2 linked regions of the Stegostoma tigrinum genome follow. The protein of the gene in region 2 purifies or fractionates together with the protein of the main gene of each other region. This does not show direct contact. Links are inferred from orthologs where the notes say so. Each region holds a gene or a part of one and is shown on either strand. Other genes may lie near its edges.

Region 1 (9,748 bases), on a different chromosome or scaffold from region 2:
TATCTTGGATTCTCCAGCATCTGCAGTTCCCATTATCTCTTACCAAAAGGATGTGGATGCTGTGGAGAGGGTGTAGAGGAGGTTCACCAGGATGTTGCCTGGTATGGAGGGCGCTAGCTATGAAGAGAGGTTGAGTAGATTAGAATTATTTACATTAGAAAGATGGAGGTTGAGGGGGACCTGATTGAGGTCTACATAATCATGAGGGGTATAGACTGGGTGGATAGCAAGAAGCTTTTTCCCAGAGTGGGGGACTCAGTTACTAGGGGTCACAATTTCAAGGTGAGAGTGGAAAAGTTTAAGGGAGATATGTGTAAAAAGTTCTTTACGCAGAGGGTGATGGGTGACTGGAAGGCGTTGCCAGCGGATGTGGTAGAGGCGGGCACGACAGCATCATTTAAGATATATCTGGACAGATACACGAATGGGCAGGGAGCAGAGGGATACAGGTTCAGATAGAGGATCTGGATCAGTGCAGGCTTGGAGGGCCGAGGGGCCTGTTCCTGTACTGTAATTTTTTTCGTTCTTTGTTCCAATAGTCTACTTCCTGTCATACCCATTCTCACACCCATTGTGAGAATTCTTGATGTGAAAGTCAGAATGGGTACGTGCAACTTCGGGTCACCTGTTGCTGTGAAGGGCCTTCGTTTGTTCACTATCTAACAAAATCTCAGGGTAAGATACCAGCTGCATGCACCCCTTGTCCACATTGGCATCCAACAATTGTCAACCCCATAGGATCCTCATTGGAAAGGAACTTGCAGGTGATGGTCTTCCCATCTATCTCTGCCCTTGTCCTTCTAGAATGGAGTGGCCATGGGTTTGGAAGGATTTTGTCTGAGAATCTTCAGTGACTTTCTGCAGTGCATCTTGTGGATAGTAAATGCTGCTGCTAATGAGTGTTGGGTGAAAGGGAATGGATGCTTGTGGATATGGTGTCAATCAAATGGGCTGTTTTGACCCGGTTGGTGTCAAATTTCTTGCATGTTGTTGAGGCTGCTCCCATCCAGGCAAGTGGAGAGTTTTTCATCCTACTCCTGACTTGTGCATTATAGGATGACGGACAGGTTTTGAACAGTCAGGAGGTGAGTTACTCACTTAATTATTTCTAGTCTCTGGCCTGCTTTTGTGGTCATTATGTTTATGTGACAAGTCCAGTTGCGAGTTTGGTCTGTGGGAACCCCCAGCATGTTGATAGTTGGGGTTTCAGTGAATGCAACTCCATTGAAAACCTTTAAAACATGACAATATCCCAAATAACAGTCTCGTATATTAGTACAAATCCTTGTTGGTATTAATAGTGGCATACATCTGGGAATCCTCAACTAACCACAGTTGCAAGTACACATGGCTGATGTCAAACTTTGTGAAGCACAGCACCCCTGCCAGTTTCATGTACCAATCCTTTATCCAAGTGATTGGATATTTATCCATCTGTGAAAAACAATTTACCATTTGTTTAAAATCACCACAAAGGTGAACCGACCCATTTGGCTTCACCATCGGTATGAGCCATTCCGCAAATTGTACTGGTTTGGTGATTCATTTCTAGCCTTCTGATTTCACCTTCCCTTTCGCCAAAAAGGCAAATGGCACTGGATGGGCCTTGCAGGATCACAGAATTGCTTCTTGATCAATGTGTAAGGTGACCTCGGCTCTTTGATTGTCCCCAGACCTTCCTGTAAAACTACCAAGTGTTTAATTAGAACTTCACTGGTGCAGCCATTTTCTAATTGAAAAATGTTGAGTCAATTAAAGTGAATCATTCTCAACCAATTTCACCCCAATGTCATTTAGAACATAGATCAGTACAGCGCAGTACAGGCACATTGGCCCATGATGTTGTGCCGACCTTTTACCTTAATCCTAAGGTCTATCTAACCTCCACCCCTACCTTATACTATCATCCATATGCCTATCTAATAGCCGCTTACATGCTCCTAATGAGGCGGAATCCACTACCCGCTCTGGTAATGCATTCCATGCCCCGATCACTCTCTGAGTAAAGAACCTGATGTCTCCCCTATATCTACCTCCACTCACTTTAAAACTATGCCCCTCATAATAGCTACCTCCACCCTAGGAAAAAGTCTCTGACTGCCTCCTGTATCTATACTTTTGATCATTTTGTACACCTCTATCACCTCTCATCCTTTGTTGTTCTAAAGAGAAAAGCCCTAGCTCTCTCAACCTTTCCTCGTAAGACCTTCCCTCGATTCCAGACATCTTGATAAATCTCCCCTGCACCTTTTCCAACACTTCCACATCTTTCCTGCAATGAGGCGACCTGAACTGGACACAATACTCCAGATGTGGTCGAACCAGGCTTTTGTATAGCTGGAGCATAAATTCACAGCTCTTGAACTCAATCCCTCTATTAATGAAAGCTAACACACTATTTGCCTTCTTAACAACTCTGCCCGAAACGTCAGCTTTTGTGCTCCTAAGATGCTGCTTGGCCTGCTGTGTTCATCCAGCCCCACACTTTGTTATCTACCCACCTGGGTGGCAGCTTTCAGGGAACTGTGGACATTAACCCCAAGATCCCTCTGCTCCTCCACACTGCCAAGAATCTTTCCGTTAATGGCACGGTGGCTCAGTGTTAGCACTGCAGCCTCACAGCACCAGGGACCTGGGTTCAATTCCCGCCTCAGACGACTGTCTGTGTGGAGTTTGCAGATTCTCCCCATGTCTGTGTGGGTTTCCTCTGCATGCTCCGGTTTCCTCCCACAGTCCAAAGATGTGCAGGTTAGGTGGATTGGCCATGCTAAATTGCCCATAGTGTTTAGGGAGGCTGGGTCTGGGTGGGATGCTTCAAGGGACGGTGTGGATTTGTTGGGCCGAAGGGCCTCTTTCCACACTGTAGGGAATCTAATCTAATCTTAACCCTGTATTCTGCTTTCAAGATTTCCTTTCCAAAATGAATCACCTCACACTTTTCAGGGGTAAGCTCCGCCTGCACTTCTCAGCCCAGCTCTGCATCCTTTCAATGCCCCTTTGTAACCTAAAACAGCCCTTTGCACTGTCCACAACATGACCCACCTTTGTATCATCTGCAAACTTACTAATCCACCCTTCCACACCTTCATCCAAATCATTTACAAAAATCACAAATAGATGACCCAGAACAGACCCTTGTGGTACACTATTTATAACTGAGCACCATGTTGAATATTTTCCGTCAGCTACCACCCTTTGTCTTCTAAGGGTCTGCCAATTCTGAATCTAGTCTGCCAGATTTCCTCCTATCCCATACCTCCTTACCTTCTGCAGGAGCCTACCATGGGGAACCTTATCAAACGCCTTACTTAAATCCATGTATACCACATCCACTACTCCACCTTCATCCACGTGCCTTTCCAAGTTATCCTAAATTCTATCTCTCAGAGACCTTTCCAATAATTTGCCCACCACCGACCTGAGACTAACTTGCCTGTAATTTCTGGGGTTATCCTTATTCCCTTTTTTGAACAAGAGAATAACATTTGCCTCTCTCCAATCTTCCGGCACCATACCAGCGGAGAGTGAGGACGAAGAGATCACCAAAGGCCCTGTGATCTCTTCCCTCGCTTCCCATAGAATCCTTGGGTAAATCCCATCAGGCCCGGGGGACTTATCAATTTTCAACTTCCTCAAAATTCCTAGCACATCTTCCTTACTAACAGCAACCTCCTCCAGCCTACCAGCCTGTTTCACTCTGTCCTCTTCTAAAACTAGGTCTCTCTCAGTTGTGAATGCCGAAGAAAAGTATTCACTCCTCCTATCTCTTTACGATCCATGCACAAATTCTCTTTACAATCCTTGATTGGCCCTACCCTTTCTCTGGTCATTCTTTCATTCCTCACATAGGTGTAAAAAGCTTTGGAGTTTTCCTTGATCCTGTCTGCCAAGGTTTTCTCATGCCCCCTTATAGCTCTCCTAAGCCCTTTCTTCAGCTCCCCACTGGCTAACTTGTATCCCTCTAGAGCCTTTTCCATTTCTTGTTTTCTAAACCTTACAGAAGCATCCTTCTTCCTCTTAACCAGTCATTCAACACTCTTGAGAACCAAGGCTCTCTCACTTGACCGCATCTTCCCTGCCTGTTAGGGACAAACATATCGAGCACAAGCAGTATGCATTCCTTAAACAATCTCCACATTTCAATAGTACTCTTTCCTGACAACATCTGTTCCCATTTTATGTTACCCAGTTCTAGTCTAACAGAATTGTAATTACCCTTCCCCCATTATAAACCTTACCCTGCTGTATGTACCTAATCTTTTCCATGACTATTGTAAAAGTAACAGAGTTATGATCACTACCACCAAAATGCTCTCCTACCAACAGGTCTAACGCTTGGCCCGGTTCATTGCCAAGCACCAAATCCAAAGTAGATGTTCATTTTGCATTCTTTCAGAGGTGTTTTTGATTAATTGTTATGTCCATTTTCCTGGTCACCATGAAATTGCTCAAGTTGCTAAACGTTCTGGCCTCTTCTAATTTTGGTCTTTTCAGCAGACCATTTTTTAAAATTGCTTAACCATTGGTGGCCCTGGTACCTTCAATTTGCAGAAACATAAAAGAGTTGTAATGTACAAGGTCATTTGCTCAGAAAAATGTAGTGCATTCTTTCCGAATTTTTGGCCCATCTTTGACAGCAGGATTGAATGAGTCAAGCTTCCCAAATAACAGCATGATGTCAGAAAAGCTAACACTATCTAAAAGGCAACTATGATGAGTAAATACCTTCAAGAGTGTGTTATTTCATTGTTCCTCCTGAAATAACTCTATACCGGCGAGTACACAATCACCAAATCACCCTTTATTTATATGTGGGAAGTCCTTGACTTTTTGTCTTATTCCACAGATGAGTTTTCCCTGCACTTTCTGTTTTCATTTCAGATCTCATGCATCCAGTTTTGGCCATTACACCAGATTGGATTCACCACATTGTTTCTCACCTTGCTTTATTTTCTTTAACAAACAGCTTACAGGTGTTCATTTTGCATTCCTTCAGAGGTGCTTTTGATTGATTGTTATGTCCATTTTCCTGGCCACCATGAAATTGCTCAAGTTGTCAAATGTTCCGACCTCTTCCAATTTTGGTCTCTTCAGCAGACCTTTTTTTTATTGCTTAACCATTGGCACTGGTACCATCAATTTGCAGGAACATAAAAGTGTTGCGATGTAGAAGGAGACTATTTGGCGCATTGTGTTTACACTAATTCCTCAAAGGAACATCATTAAGCTGGTCTCATACTTCCCCCCATACCCTTGCACATTATTTCTATCCAAACAATCATTCAATGCCCTTTTGAACGCCTCGTTGAACCTGCATCCAGCATGCTTTCAGACAGTAACTACTCACTGTATGAAAATAATGATTTTTCTCCGTTGCATTTGCAGCAGTTAAGTGGGCCTTGACCTTTGGAATTCCCTTCCTAAACTTCTTCATGTCGCTCTTTCTTGTCATTTATGATGCTTTTTAAATTCTACCTCTTTGCGTGAGCTTGTGGTCGTCAGCTGGCCGAACAGCTCCTTGAGTGTCTTGGGATCAAGCGCCTGCCTATTTATCACCCCGGTGAAATACTCCAGTTTTCAGGCTGAGTAAATTCAAGTCACACAATCAGCAGTTCAGCTTGACCCTTCAGAGAGGTAAGCAACCCTGGTGATTATTTGACAAATCACAAACATGTGAGGCTCCAAATAAAAGGACTGATGTCTTGGGGCAATTTTTCCCAAACATTTCCTGGCTGACAGAATGTTAACATCAGTAAATGATTTTCTGAAGAAGGGTCTAGGTCTGAAGAAGCCTTCCTGCGCCTCTGATGCTGCTTGGCCTGCTGTGTTCATCCAGGCCCACACCTTGTCATCTCAGATTATCCAGCATCTTCAACTCTACCGTCATCCCAGTGAGCTGTTCGTCTCCATAGCGACAGACCACACCCCCCGCATCCCCAGGCCGGACGTGACGCAAAGGAAGTTTGTCCTGCTGACCTGAGGCCTGTGCGGAGAGGCTGCGAGGCGCAAAATGATTCCTACAGAGGACGCGTCCGCCAGGAAAAGGCATATCGAGGAGAAGCTTCAGCAGGTAAATGGCCGGGGTAGCCGTGGAAGAGGAATGGATAGTTGGAGTGCCGTGTGCCGGTCTCTGTCTGCAGTCCCCGTCCAGGGGTCTGGTCGGGGCGAAAGCGGGTGCGATGTGGTGTTATAAGTATTGCCAACTGCTATCCTAATGATGGTCTGATGCCTTTGCATTTACTATTAACTAGGAAGTCAAGTGTCTTTGATTAGATGCATATTTGTGACTTTTCTTTAATAACCAGGAGCAAGAAACCTTGTCGTTCATAAGAGAAAGCTTGGAGAAAAGTGACCAACTGACCAAAAATATGGTAAGTTCATCTTACTTCAGTCGTAGGTCAATGTTTTGTATATTAGAAGCAGCTGGTAAGGTGGACAGTGATAGGGGTTTGGTGGGGTGTCAGAAAGGGTGTTACTACACTACAGACCCTGATTTTATCATGTTTTGTGCATGTGTGGGCTAAATGGCAGTGTGTCACACTGACATATTTCCATTTACTAAAAGAGAATATCATGTTTGCTCCTGGATTGTCAGAGATGATGGTGTGTGTACTACTGTTTATCTCCAGCTCCTGGGGTAAGAAAGAAACTGGGGTTTGCACAATCAACTGTTTTACTTGTCTGTCTGGGTGGTGGAGGTCAAGGGTTTGGAAAGTGGTGTTGAAAAAGGATCGGTGAGTTATTATGCTTCATCTTTTGGATAACATGTACTGTTACTACTGTGCATTGATAGTGGGAACAGTGAAAGGTGAAGATGGTGGGCTGGAGTACCAGTTAAGCTGCTTAGTCCAGGATGGTTTTGAGATTCTTGACAGTTTTTTTGTACTTGTGCTCATCCGTGCAAGTGAGGAGTATGCCATCATACTCTTGCCTTGTGTCTTGTAGATGATGGACAGGATAGGGGAGGTGATGGCCTAGTATTAATGCTGGACTGTTGACCCAAGAACCTAGGTAATGTTATGGGGACCCAGGTTCAAATCTTACCATGGCAGATTGTGGAATTTGAATTCAATGAAAACCTACAACTGAGAATCTAGTGATGGCCTTGAATCCATTGATGATTGTCAGGGGAAAAATCCATCTGGTCCACTAATGTCCTTAGGGAAGGAAACTGCCTTTCCCTTACCTAGTCTGGCCTACATTTGAATCCAGACTCTCAGCAATGTGGTTGACTCCTAACTGCTCTCTATGCAATTAGGGATGGGCAGTAAATGCTGGCTTAGCCAGCAATGTCCTCATCCTTTGAAAGAATAATAAAAGTTGGGGAGTCTGAGTTACTTGCAATAAAATTCCCAGTCCCTGTCGTCTTTTGTGCTTCCAGTAATACGTGGCTAGTCCAGTTCAGCCTGTGGTCAGTGGGATCCTTTACAATATCGTCAGTGATTTCATTTGTGGTAATACCAAAGGGAGGTGCTTAGATTCTATCTTGTTGGAGTAGTTGCATTTGGAAGGCAATGAGTGTTAATTGCCATTAGTTAGCTCAAGCCTCACATTGTGCAGGTCTAGTTGCATTTGAACATAAACTGCAAGTATTTGGGGTGTTGTGAAGTGTGCTGAACACCGTGCAATCATCAGAGAATGTCCCAATTTCTGACCTTATGATGGAGGGAAAGGCATTGAAGCAGCCAAAGGTGATTTAGCTTAGGACGTTACATGAGGAACTCCTGTGTGTGATGTGAATGAAATGTATAGATGTTTCAAAGTCCTCAACCCTATCTGGTATTTGAATACTGTAGAGTGATGCTGTTGGGCTGGATGGGATTATATTTTCACCATTTTGAAATATTTCAAATTGTGTTACATGTAAAATATTTTTTCTCTTTATCATCTCTTTTGCCTGATGAGCTTTATTCTATTTTTAAAACAGGTCTGCAGGATTTCACGTTTGTGTTTATAGAGGATTGTCTCATTAGATTGGAGATAATGGGAACTGCAGTTGCTGGATAATCTGAGATAACAAAGTGTGGAGCTGGATGGATACAGCAGGCCAAGCAGCATCTCAGGAGCACAAGAGCTGACGTTTTGGGCCTAGACCCTTCATCAGAAAGAGTCTAGGCCCAAAATGTCAGCTTTTGTGCTCCTCTGATGCTGCTTGGCCTGGTATGTTCATCCAGCTCTGCACTTTGTCTCATTAGATCACTTTTTTTCTCAAGCCAGCTTCCACTTTGGAATTAGACTTGCCAATGATAAGCTCAGCTGGGACCATTACATTTGGGGGCTCTTGCAGGATTTGAATTCAGTGGGTTTAATAGGAATCTGTGTCTTTTTTAAAGTAATCGGTACGTGAGGCTTCTGCATCTAAAATGGCTGTGTTGTGATGAAGTATGTTGCATGGAATTTGAAGATTATTTTGAGTGTTATTGGGTTTATTTGGTAGTATTTGAAATCAAATCAGGATCTCTCAGGATGAGATGCTTTGTGTTTATCCACCCTGTAAAAAGGTAAAGTCATCATCGTCTTACCAGATCATAGGGCTGCACTGTGATAAGAGAGGCATGACCGGTGATGGTTTAACCTGAGGGTCACCACATCTCAAAGGGAAAAATCTGAGAAGCATAGTCGTTCAGAAATTCAGCTGCTGCAGAAATTGAACTCACGTTGTTGACATCACTGCATCGCAAACAAAACTGTCCAGCCAACTGACCTAACTGGTAATATTTATCCAGAATTGGAAGAAAGCAAGCCAGAAATTGGGATGCGATGGCTGGAATTAGTTAAGGTACAGTTGAAAATGAAGAGACTTGAACTAGAAACACACCCAGGAAGCTGGAAAGTGAGGAGAAAGAAAATCAAGAGTAATGGACATAGTTTAGGAACCTTGAAATTGAAAGGGAGAAAAACAAGAGGGGTATAGAATTAGTAGAACTCAACTCCTAAAAGATAAATAACTTTTATAGCATAAGTTGGCCAAAGAACAACTTGGAGGAAAGGAAGAAAGGAGGAGGTTGATGAGATTGGAGGGTGATTCTGACTAGAATGAATGATTTGCTTGGTGCCCACATTTACTGCGGTTGGATTCAAGAAGTATTTTATTTCATGTACTGAGACATTAACAGTGCAGAATGAGGCTATTGGGCTATTATGTCCACACCAATCAATCAACAAAGATCTGACCACCGTACTCCTATTTTCTTGCACTGACACCAGGCACGAGCCTCTGAATCCTGAGGAGGGACTGAGAGACTGTATGTTGCATAACAGCAAAGTCTTTACTCCACATTTCTAGGTTTCCATCCTTTCGTCATTCGAAAGCCGGCTAATGCAGTTGGAGAATTCCATCATTCCAGTCCACAAACAGACAGAAAATCTGCAGCGCCTGCAGGACAACGTGGAAAAAACTCTCTCTTGTTTGGATCATGTTATCAGCTATTACCATGTGGCTAAGGACACAGAGAAGATCATCAAAGAGGGGTGAGCAGAATTGGAGTGCGAAAGTTAATTTCATTCCCTGTTCATGTTAGTCAGCAACAGCTCCTTTACTTGTATCAGAGATAATGGGAACTGCAGATGCTGGAGATTCCAAGATAATAAAATGTGAGGCTGGATGAACACAGCAGGCCAAGCAGCATCCCAGGAGCACAAAAGCTGACGTTTCGGGCCTAGACCCTTCATCAGAGAGGGGGATGGGGGGAGGGAACTGGAATAAATAGGGAGAGAGGGGGAGGCGGACCGAAGATGGAGAGTAAAG
Region 2 (10,303 bases):
TGCCCTGAAGTGTGCTGACCCTCTGGATAAAGCAACCATCAACTCTCTCTCTGAGAGGGGAGCTCTATGATCCAGTAGAACTATGGTGTCTTTATGTTTACCTATAACATTCAGTATCTAATCGTATTAGTCACGAAATAAGTCACGAAAGATCATTTTGTGTGATGGAATCCATTACAATCATAGAGCCATGAAACAGACTCTTTGGCCCAACTCATCCAAATTTCACAAACTAAACAAACTAGTCCCATTTGCCCACATTTTGTCCTATTCCTCTAAATTTTTCCTATTCGTGTAGCTGTCCAGATGTCTTCTGTATGGGATAGAAAAATTCTTTTAAACCAATATTTTCAATCTTAGTACACTTTGTGATCTACTCCAAACCATAAATTGCTCCCTGTGCTATCACAATCAGTAATTTATCCAAGTATTATATTTATCCAATGTTCTCTCCAAACACAAATAATACAAACATTTGCACAATCAGAGCATTTTCCTTTAGATCAGGGCAAAAATTTCACATGATGACTTAACCAAGAAAATATTGTGACAACAATCTGCAATAATTTTAAAAATGTATAAAACTTTTAGATGATGCTTCTTTTCATAAATCTAAGTAACTCCTGGGTACCACTCTGAAAGTAATTAATGTTTTCTTTTGAACAAGGTATGCTGCATTGGAGTAGGTCAACCAAAGTGAAAGATATTTAGAATGTCTTACTTACTCCACTTTGTTAACTAAAGGGTGAAATCTGATGGCAGAGATCCAACCTGCACAATGAAAAAATGTGTGAATTGTTTGATGTAGACTGAAGGAGACCCCAGTTATAGCTGTGGCTTGTCATGTGTTACTGTTGAAGTAATTGTTCTTCCCCATAGCTTTGAATATATCATGCTGTACTCTTCCTCCTCCTCGCATCCTCACTGTGCTTAAATCAAGACATAGTATGCCATCTCCTCTCCAAAGTCATTCTTTACCAACAGTTTAAAACTGTGGAACTTAGTATCTTCCTTCCTGAAAACTCTTATCTTTTAAAACCCATGGCCAAAATCAATAAATCACTGGGATAACAAAGTGTGGAGCTGGATGAACACAGCAGGCCAAGCAGCATCTTAGGAGTACAAAAGCTGACGTTTCAGGCCTAGACCCTTCATCAGAAAAGGGGGCTGGGGAGGGGATTCTGAAATAAATATGAAGGGGGGTAGGCGGACCGAAGATGGATAGAGGAGAAGATAGGTGGAGAGGAGGAGCAGATGATTACCTGTACATCCGCCAATGAGGTATACTGCATCCGCTGTACCCGGTGTGGTTTCCTCTACACTGGGGAAACCAAGCAGAGATTTGGGAAATGCTTTGCAGAACACCTACGCTCGGTTCGCAATAAAGAACTGCACCTCCCAGTCATGAACCATTTCAACTCTCTCTCCCATTCCTTAGACATGTCCATCCTGGGCCTCCTGCAGTGCCATAATGATGCCACCCATAGGTTGCAGGAACAGCAACTCATATTCCGCTTGGGAACCCTGCAGTCCAATGGTATCAATGTGGATTTCACCAGCGTCAAAATCTCCCCTCCCCCCAATGCATCCCAAAACCAGCCCAGCTCGTCCCCGCCTGCCTAACCTGTTCTTCCTCTCACCTATACCCTCTCCTCCCACCTCAAACCACACCTCCATTTCCTACCTACCAACCTCATCCCGCCCCCTTGACCTGTCCGTCCTCCCTGGACTGACCTATCCCCTCCCCACCTCACCACGCATACTCTCCTCTCCACCTATATTCTCCTCTAACCATCTTTGGCCCGCCTCCCCCCTCGCCCTACCTATTTCAGAATCCTCTCCCCGTCCTCCTTTTCTGATGAAGGGTCTAGGCCTGAAACGTCAGCTTTTGTACTCCTAAGATGCTGCTTGGCCTGCTGTGTTCATCCAGCTCCACACTTTGTTATCTCGGATTCTCCAGCATCTGCAGTTCCCATTATCTCTGATCTCAATAAATCACTGGTTCTTGATTTACCATTTTATCTCCAGCTTTCATAACCTTGATGCTGCACTGCATCACAGACTTTAGCCTGTCAACAAGATCAAGTAATGTGGCTCAATGACCCAAATGAAAGAATATTATATGATCAGCAGACGCATAACCTTCTTTTACCACTTTTGCATTTTGTACATTGGGAAAGAAAAAAAGCTGCCAACTCAGGGCATTGGAGTAAGATGCTATAAACCATTTTAGCCTGATGTGTTGTATTACAAAAAGCCAGTTGGCGAAGAACAGAACCTTCTTAACGCAAAGATAAACCTTTTAATTTAACAACAGTTTTAGTTTGTCTAGCTCCTCTGCTAGGAATTCCATCCTTACACTTTATTTCCAAAGTCGATGGAGACTGATTTAGCTCAGTCATTACCAAGATCATCATTTGGCCAAGCACTATCCACTCAAAGTTTCCAAACTGATAGGTAAAATGGGAAGCTAAAGCTCCTAAGAGTTTACCCTGGCCTAGCAGATGGATGAATTTGACATCTTTGGTAGTTGGGCCATTCAGATACAGCGAGGCAGTGACTGGGTTGAATTGATTTCCAGAGATCAATTTACTGCAGAAAGGAAGCATACAAAGGAATTTTGAGTGAACGGTGTCTGTTCAAAGCAGATTTGAGACAATCTCACAAACAGACAGACCTTACAAGACATTGGGAATTGTAAAGAAGCCTGGGCCAGATGCCCCACTGATTGGTCTCTCCATAATCACTCCCTGGTTATGCCAGTCTTCCACCTACAGCATAACAGTGTTCAAACAATTGCATATCTTGAATCTTACTTATGCTGAATAAAATATAACCAAAGTATTATTACTCTGAATCATTTTGGAACTCGGGACAGGAGGCTAAATGACTCCCAGAATCCAGATTTTTTAGCACGCACATGACTGATCTTGATTCATATTTTACACTAGAATTAGTTTAACTGAAATGAGTGTTCAGACTAGGTGGCTGCAGAGTGAGAAAGAAACAATATTGCTTTAAAGTTTGGCTTGAAGCTGCTGAACAGTACAGAACATATAAGGGACAATAGTGAAGTCAGATTAACAGAGACAGAATTACACTTGCTGATACAGTAGGGATGTTGAGCAAGACAGTAAAGTGGCTAGCAGAAATAAACTACAACTTAAAAAACAAACACAATTTTACTGAGGAAAAAACCTCTCTATAGCAGGAATCAAGTTTGTGTTATGAAACATGAAATACTCCCTAAAACAAATACCATTACTGATTTTAAAAAAATGTTTCTGATTGCAAATACATCCTACAACAAAACGGCATTCACAATTTTGCTGCAAATAAATTGTTCATAAAACTGGGGAAAAAATCTTCTCAGACAGTGTCCAAATAAAGGACTTGATTTTGTAATGAAATGTTATAAATAAAGCTACAAAACCAAATACTTCTCTGAAAATCATAAATAATTAGGCATTTATGAAACTAAAGTGATGCAAAATGTATATTGACATTGGTAACAGGTATAGTACTACAAATAATCATCCTATCAAGTTGTCTAATCATGAACAAAAAGTAATGTCCCATTTTGTTGGTAGCTGCAACAAAACAGTGGTCATTCCCCACTACATTGCCCCATATGACTTGGTGTTATCAGAATGGAAGAATGGAAATGGAATTCTGCAGAGATACTGAGTGCCAGTTTGTCTCTGTGATAGCAATCACCCTTCTGAAGGCAAAAAGACTGAAGCTTCAACACTAGCACAGGACTCTGCAAAAACTAACGTGACACTTTAATGTAGTACTGCGGGAGTGAATGATCATAACTCCACTTTTCTGCTAGGGTGTTACCCAGAGCTCAGTTCACCTGTTTAAGCTGCTCTCAAATCAATATGCCCTCATTCTGGTTGAACATAGTGCACTACAATAAGAAACTTTAGCTACCTGACCAAGACTAAAGGATAGTAAGTGCTGGATTGAAATTTTGACATAATCCTTTAACTGACACTTCACAATAACAATTCTTTAAGGCTATCGTAAACTTTTGACAATTGCCTTATGTAAAGGTAACTTTCTAATATATTTCATCTCCAGTTCTAGGACAACAATAAATAACAACACAGCTGAACAATAACACGACAGCGTGGGGTAGCAATAGCACAGAGAAGGAAGCAAGTCCCAGATCTTGAAGCTGTAATATCATCATTGACAAGGGTTCGCAATGATTGCCATTTACCAGGCCCTGAGACTGCAATAACACGCACAGTTGGATCTGAGGATTTTAATAAGATTGCTAGACTGAGAACACCAGACAAGCACAGACTCCCATAGACCCGCACTAACATTTACCCAGAGCCAGCGACTGCAATGTCACCAGACTGCACTCTTAATCTGAAACGAAATGCGTCCCGAACCGCAAATGTCACTGACTGTCCTACCCTGGGAACGAAATAACACCACACCCGGGCTCGTTTGACCGTTTCTTGTCTTTTGACGCCTCTCTGCACTTCAAGCAGCAGGAACAGGCCCCAGGCCCGGGCCTAGCACCACCTTCACCACTCCAGATCCTCCTAACCCTGCCTGGGGTACTACGGCCTCTCGCAGCGCCAGAGGGACGGCGGGAAGACAATAACGAAATCGAACACCACGAGCATTCAAACCGTGTCCCGCGACGGCACGAAACTCCGACCGGCCAGATTAGAAACCGCGCCGTCCGACGGGTAGTGTAGTCGGCCTGTCGCATTGGGGAAACTACATAACCCAGCATGCACCACGGCAGAGCAAGTACATTTCCGGCCAGCTGGGGAACGGTTTGGAGATTGTACTTTGGCTGCGGTCTCCATTCCTATCTGCATTAGACTATCCAAGAAATCAGTGAGCTATGTCTAGAGCAGTCTGAAGCTGTCGTAGCAAACATAATTTATCTAAACCAAAGTCTGTATACGCTGCAAAGAGAGTCTATCTTAAAAATAATCTCTACAAACCACAACAAACAATCTATGGCCGAAATTATAGCAAAGTATACTAATAGACACTGGGAGTTACATAAAATCTGGGATCTGGAGTGGGCCATTCAAACCCTTATGCGTGAGCGATGTCAAAAAGATCACGGCTGATCTCACTGCCTTGCCTCTACTTGCCTGCTTGTTTCCCATAGCCCTTGACTTCCTTGTTGATCAAAACCCTAGCTAACTCAACCTTGAATGACTTCAAAGATCCAGCCTTTGCTTCTGCCTGTGGAAGACAATTCAAGGCTAACCAGTTGCTGAGAGAAGTGTGCGAAAGCAAGTTGGCTATGTTGATAGAACGTGAGATTGTCTTAAACTGGGGTTGCGAGCCCAGCTAGTCCAGGCACCACATTTTGGTGAGGATGTGAAGGCATAGGAGAGAGTTCAGAAAAAAAATCATGAGAACGGTTCTCAAGATGAGAAAGTTATGAAGGACCATTTCTGTTGGAGAGTAGAAGGCTGAACAGAGATTTAATAGATGCAGTGAGCAATCCTACCAAAATAGATCGGGAGAAACTTACCATTTGTGAAGAGATAGAGAACATAATGACATAGTTTTACAATAATTAGTAAAAGAAACAAAGGCAATGAGATTTTTTTCACATAATGAGTGGTTCTGTTTAAGGTGTACTAACTGAGATTGTAACAAAGGCAGATTCAGTTGAAGCACTCACAGTAGAGTTAGACTATTATCTGAAAAGGAAGAATATACAGGGTTTCAGACAGAAGACCAGGAAATGGCACTAAGTGAATATCCCATCCGGAGAGCTGGCAGAGGCATGATGGGTCAAACTGCCCTATAATTTGTCAAATTATGTGAAGAAATGCTTGCATTCGAACAGCACCTTTCATTATCTCAACACATTCCAAAGCTTTTTAGCCATTGAAATATTTTAAACAATTGTTACTGTAATAATATAGGGAATTACAGTAACCAATTGTTCACAGGACAAACCCACAGGATAATTTGATAATGACCACATAATTCATTGTTGCTACAGGAATAAATACAGCCCTGGGCACTGGGGAGAAATGCCACTGCTTTTCATCAAATTGTCACATGGTGTTTTCACATTGATCTGAGTGCACTTGAGAGCACACAGTGAGAGTAAGTCTTACCTTAGTGTCTCAATTATAAGGCAGCACCTGCAACTGTGCAGCACTAACACAGTACCGCAATGGCAGTTTCAGCCCAGAATTTATTCTCCACTTCCTGGATCAGAACTTGAACTCAAGACATTCTGCCTCATCCACAACTTGTGTTCCAGCTGAATATTAGTAGCAGGAGTATTCAACACCAAGAGTCTGCTCAAATCATGGCTGGTCTGCACCTCAATTGCATTTGTCTGCCTTGCTCCACATTCTTTACCACTTACCCAACAAAAATCTACTGATATCTGTCATGGACACCTCCAGCAGCCACAGAATTTTGGGGGATAATGTTCTGATTTATGCCCATTTTTCCCTTTTTAATTCACATCAAAATGTTCTTGCAATAAATAGACATAACAATAGCACTGTGTTAAAGAAAGATAGCCTAGAATTTACAACTTCAAACAACACTTGTCTATCTTTGGTGCCTTGTTGAGTTGTATGCTACTTGCAAAGACACTGATAGCAGCAATTCCAAGACGTTTTGACAAGATCTGTACAAATACTTTATTGTAGGTTTTTAAACTAAGTATTTACAATGTTTTGTAATTATAAAACAATAATTAGTGCACACTGCAAAATGGCAGAACTTGAAGGATTCTTTCATTGTCAAACATTGAAAAAAACATTCATTGGAGAAACTGACTGTTTACATGTTCTCCTGATAGATCCACACAATCTGAAAGAAAATGAGGATAATTTTCTTCTATGTATTTTCATTAAGGAAATATGGAATTCAATGATGTAAACTGTACTGTAATGAAGATTTTACAAAGTTTTGTTTTTGAACAGAACCAATCTTCTCAAGCTTTAGAAAAACACAGTTATTGCATATATATATATTTCAAACCCTATATTAAAAACTTTACATTTACAAAGACCTCCAGTTATTATTTTACCATTGAAAACCCTTTTGTCCATATTTATTCTGGAAAGTGTAGCAACACCACATAGGGTAGTGGATAGAATAGTTTTACATAGGGAAGGAAAAATAATAGAGCTTGCAATTATATAGTATTTCTCCAATGTTAGAACATTCCAAAATTCTCATGAGCAATTGAATACTTTTGAATTGTCATCACTGAAGATATGACAGCTAATCCATGCACAACACAACGCAATAATGAGTTCATACTTTATTTTAGTGAACTTGTTTTAGGGATAATTGTTGACTTGGACTTGGACACCAACTCCCCTGTTTTTTCTTTGAAGTAGTACTATGAGATCATTTACATTTACCTGAAAGGGCAGATGGACCCTCAGTTTAAAGCCTCACAGGTCATATCCATTTAAAGGTGGAGACATAGGAACCTATCATAGAAGTGAACAGGAAAGGACAGAGTGTATGATGCCAAACCTGGACTGAAATACATTATTGTGTTTTTCTCCATCTGAAAACAATATTATGTCTTGACTACATGTGTGCAACACTACTTAAGATTGACTGGCATTGAAAATAAAATGTAATTTAAAACTTACAAATGATCTCAGAAATATCTGCCAGTGAAAACTTCTAAAATATGCAATAGGAACTGCAGAACAACTGGGTGTAGAAACCTTGACGTTCTCCAAAAGGGAAGTGGGGAGCTGACAGGGAACAAGTACTTAGCAGTCATAGGTTTGAACTGTTAAACACCTATTTGTTACAGCAGTGGGTTTATGAAATTTGTGTTGTTGTTGTTTGTTGTTGTGGAGTGGGTTTATAAAGTTGACTTTAAGGCAATTTGTTGGAACCGAGGAATGGCTATCAGCAAATATTTGACCAACAAGTGCTTTTTTGCAATAATCTGCACTATCCCAAAAGAAAAAGATTATTAGACACAAACAAAAGCAAAGTATTAAAGATATGACATATGTTAAAGCTAAATTGTCATTTCATAAATACATGTTGCTTTCTGTACATTATTGCTGTTTTTATATTTATTTACAAAAATGAGCAGCAACATTGACAAAGTATTTTAACAGTTTGTAAACAGTGATGGAGAAGCACTTGTTCTCAAAATTTTATCTCTTTAATACTTGATTTAATAGGCTAGGCATATTTGTTTCTCTTTCTGGTGTTCTGAAAGAGACAACACAGAAGAATAAACATTTTTGAGACAACAGGCAAAGAGAATTATATAAATCTTCACAGGGAAGCTGTCTGAATTAAAACGTAATGTTGGGGTTATCACATTTAATATGTGATGTATGGAACAATGTTTAATGTCTCCCAGTGATGTACTGAGGTGAAATCCCTTTGATCTTGCAGTAATTAGGTCACAGATATAATGAATGAATGCAATGGGGTAAAATTGTTTAAAACGGTATCTACTTTCAACCTTAGCTCTAATTTATTGTTACAAGTAACATCGATATTTTTATGTAGATGCAATCAGAATGATGTTCTTAAGTAAATATTTAATAACATGTGATGCTCCTATCTTACTATGTCAATGAAACAATTTGCTGTGTCTGATTTCATATGATTATTGTCTGTGTTTTCTGATTCTTATGATTATGACACTTTTGAACAAAAAATACAAAATCATTTTGACTTGGTAAGTATTCAAAGCATCATACAAATGCAAACGAAGAAGATGAGGAATATGTTGCAGGCACCTGTGTTTATAACAGAATTGCAAATGGGATATTGGCATTATTGGCAAGGCAATAATTTATTGACACTCACTGATTACTTTGAGAAGGTAATGATGCAACTGAGTATCTGAGTTTGTTATGGTCTCTTCCAGAGCATAACAGAAAGTCTGTTATGAAATCACACACAGAGACCACACTGGACAAAGGTGAAAGGTTTCCTTCCTGAAAGGACGTCAGTGTTTTTGGACAATCCAACAGCCACAGGGTCACATTCAATGTGAACTTACACTCTATAGAGGTATAGCCCAACAATATATCCATTATACTACTCAGGCCCTGGGTAGATTTTTCTACTTAGGGTCAGGACCCTGACATCGGGATCAAATCCTGTTTCCAACTCTGCATTTTGTCAGGACGGGTCGTCTGACACAGATTTTGCCTTGATTCTAGCCAATTAGAGACTTGAAAACATGCCTGCCATCCAATTAACACTGGTGGGTGGGCTTTTAAAGCACAGAAGCCAATGAGACACCCTCCAGCACAGAAGGAACTGCGGCCCACCATTGTTGGCAAGGAAGAAATAGGATTTTTCCATTTTGAAGAATATCCCAGTCGGCCTGTGGTCCAAGACCTTAATTGGGCTCTAATGACCCTAACTACCTACGATCCAGTTGCAGGTGGGTAGCTGTTCCACCCTGACCAGGCCCTCACAAAAATGGCTTGGGGCCAGAATTATGCTGGTAAACTGGCATGCTAGCTGGTGGTGCAAAATGATGCCTTGTTCCTGTTGCATAACAGGATGAAAATCCTGCTCTATGTTCTGTTACAGAGCAGGTTTGAACATGCATGATTGCGGACACAGGTCCAAATACAATAGAAAATCAATATATAGGGGAGGTGCATCTCTAAACTCTGTTATTCTACATGTTGGATCCAACAGCATGCATTTACATAGTGTCTTTGAAGCAAACAGATGTCCCAAGATACTTCATTTCCTTCTTCATTTAAAGAACAGGAAAACTCCCTGCACTTTATGCTGTCTGTCAAGCACATGGTTCGCAAAGTAGTGTGCATAACAATCTTAGTTAATTATGCATTAGATGGTTTAAAGTGGAAAAAGAAACAAGCCCAGGTACAATACTGAGAAAGGAAGATCCTACACTTCATCTCTGATCTGTGCTGTCCTGTTAAGCATCGCAGGATTGTAATTAGCCTGAATGTGGTCATTTCAGGTAAAATACACCTCATTTCTCCATGATCACCAACATTCAGGTGCTGGAGCTCTGTGGATATCAGGTTCAGACTGGATGAGGCTGAGCTATTCAGTAGATCTGCTATTTCATAGACTGATAACATGAAAAAAATTTCAGACAAGGTATCAACAGCAGAACAGTGGACAACTGTTTTAAGGACAAGACCAGCAACTCAATGGTCAAGAATAAAAAGAAATTGAATGTTTTTGTACCTGGCAACATAAAGGCTACATATCTTTTAACTAAATAGGTGCCCTCATTTTAACAGTCCGTAGACTCAATACCGTATGTTAAAGTCAGGAATTTATTCCATTCACT

Evidence for each region.
Region 1: the proteins of exoc3 (region 2) and exoc7 purify together in Homo sapiens (affinity purification with mass spectrometry; 5 studies listed by BioGRID and IntAct, counting the BioPlex papers as one, with this or other methods). This does not show direct contact. The link is inferred for Stegostoma tigrinum from reciprocal best matches to the Homo sapiens genes EXOC3 and EXOC7.

Annotation. Positions count from the first base shown.
Region 1 is NC_081375.1:4,039,788-4,049,535, forward strand, and holds the start of exoc7 (exocyst complex component 7), read left to right. Parts: upstream 1-5,940; 5' UTR 5,941-6,010; coding exon 6,011-6,070; intron 6,071-6,305; coding exon 6,306-6,371; intron 6,372-9,286; coding exon 9,287-9,471; intron 9,472-9,748. UniProt on the Homo sapiens protein: Component of the exocyst complex involved in the docking of exocytic vesicles with fusion sites on the plasma membrane.
Region 2 is NC_081355.1:20,901,410-20,911,712, forward strand, and holds the start of exoc3 (exocyst complex component 3), read right to left. Parts: upstream 4,730-10,303; 5' UTR 4,431-4,729; intron 772-4,430; 5' UTR 726-771; intron 1-725. UniProt on the Homo sapiens protein: Component of the exocyst complex involved in the docking of exocytic vesicles with fusion sites on the plasma membrane.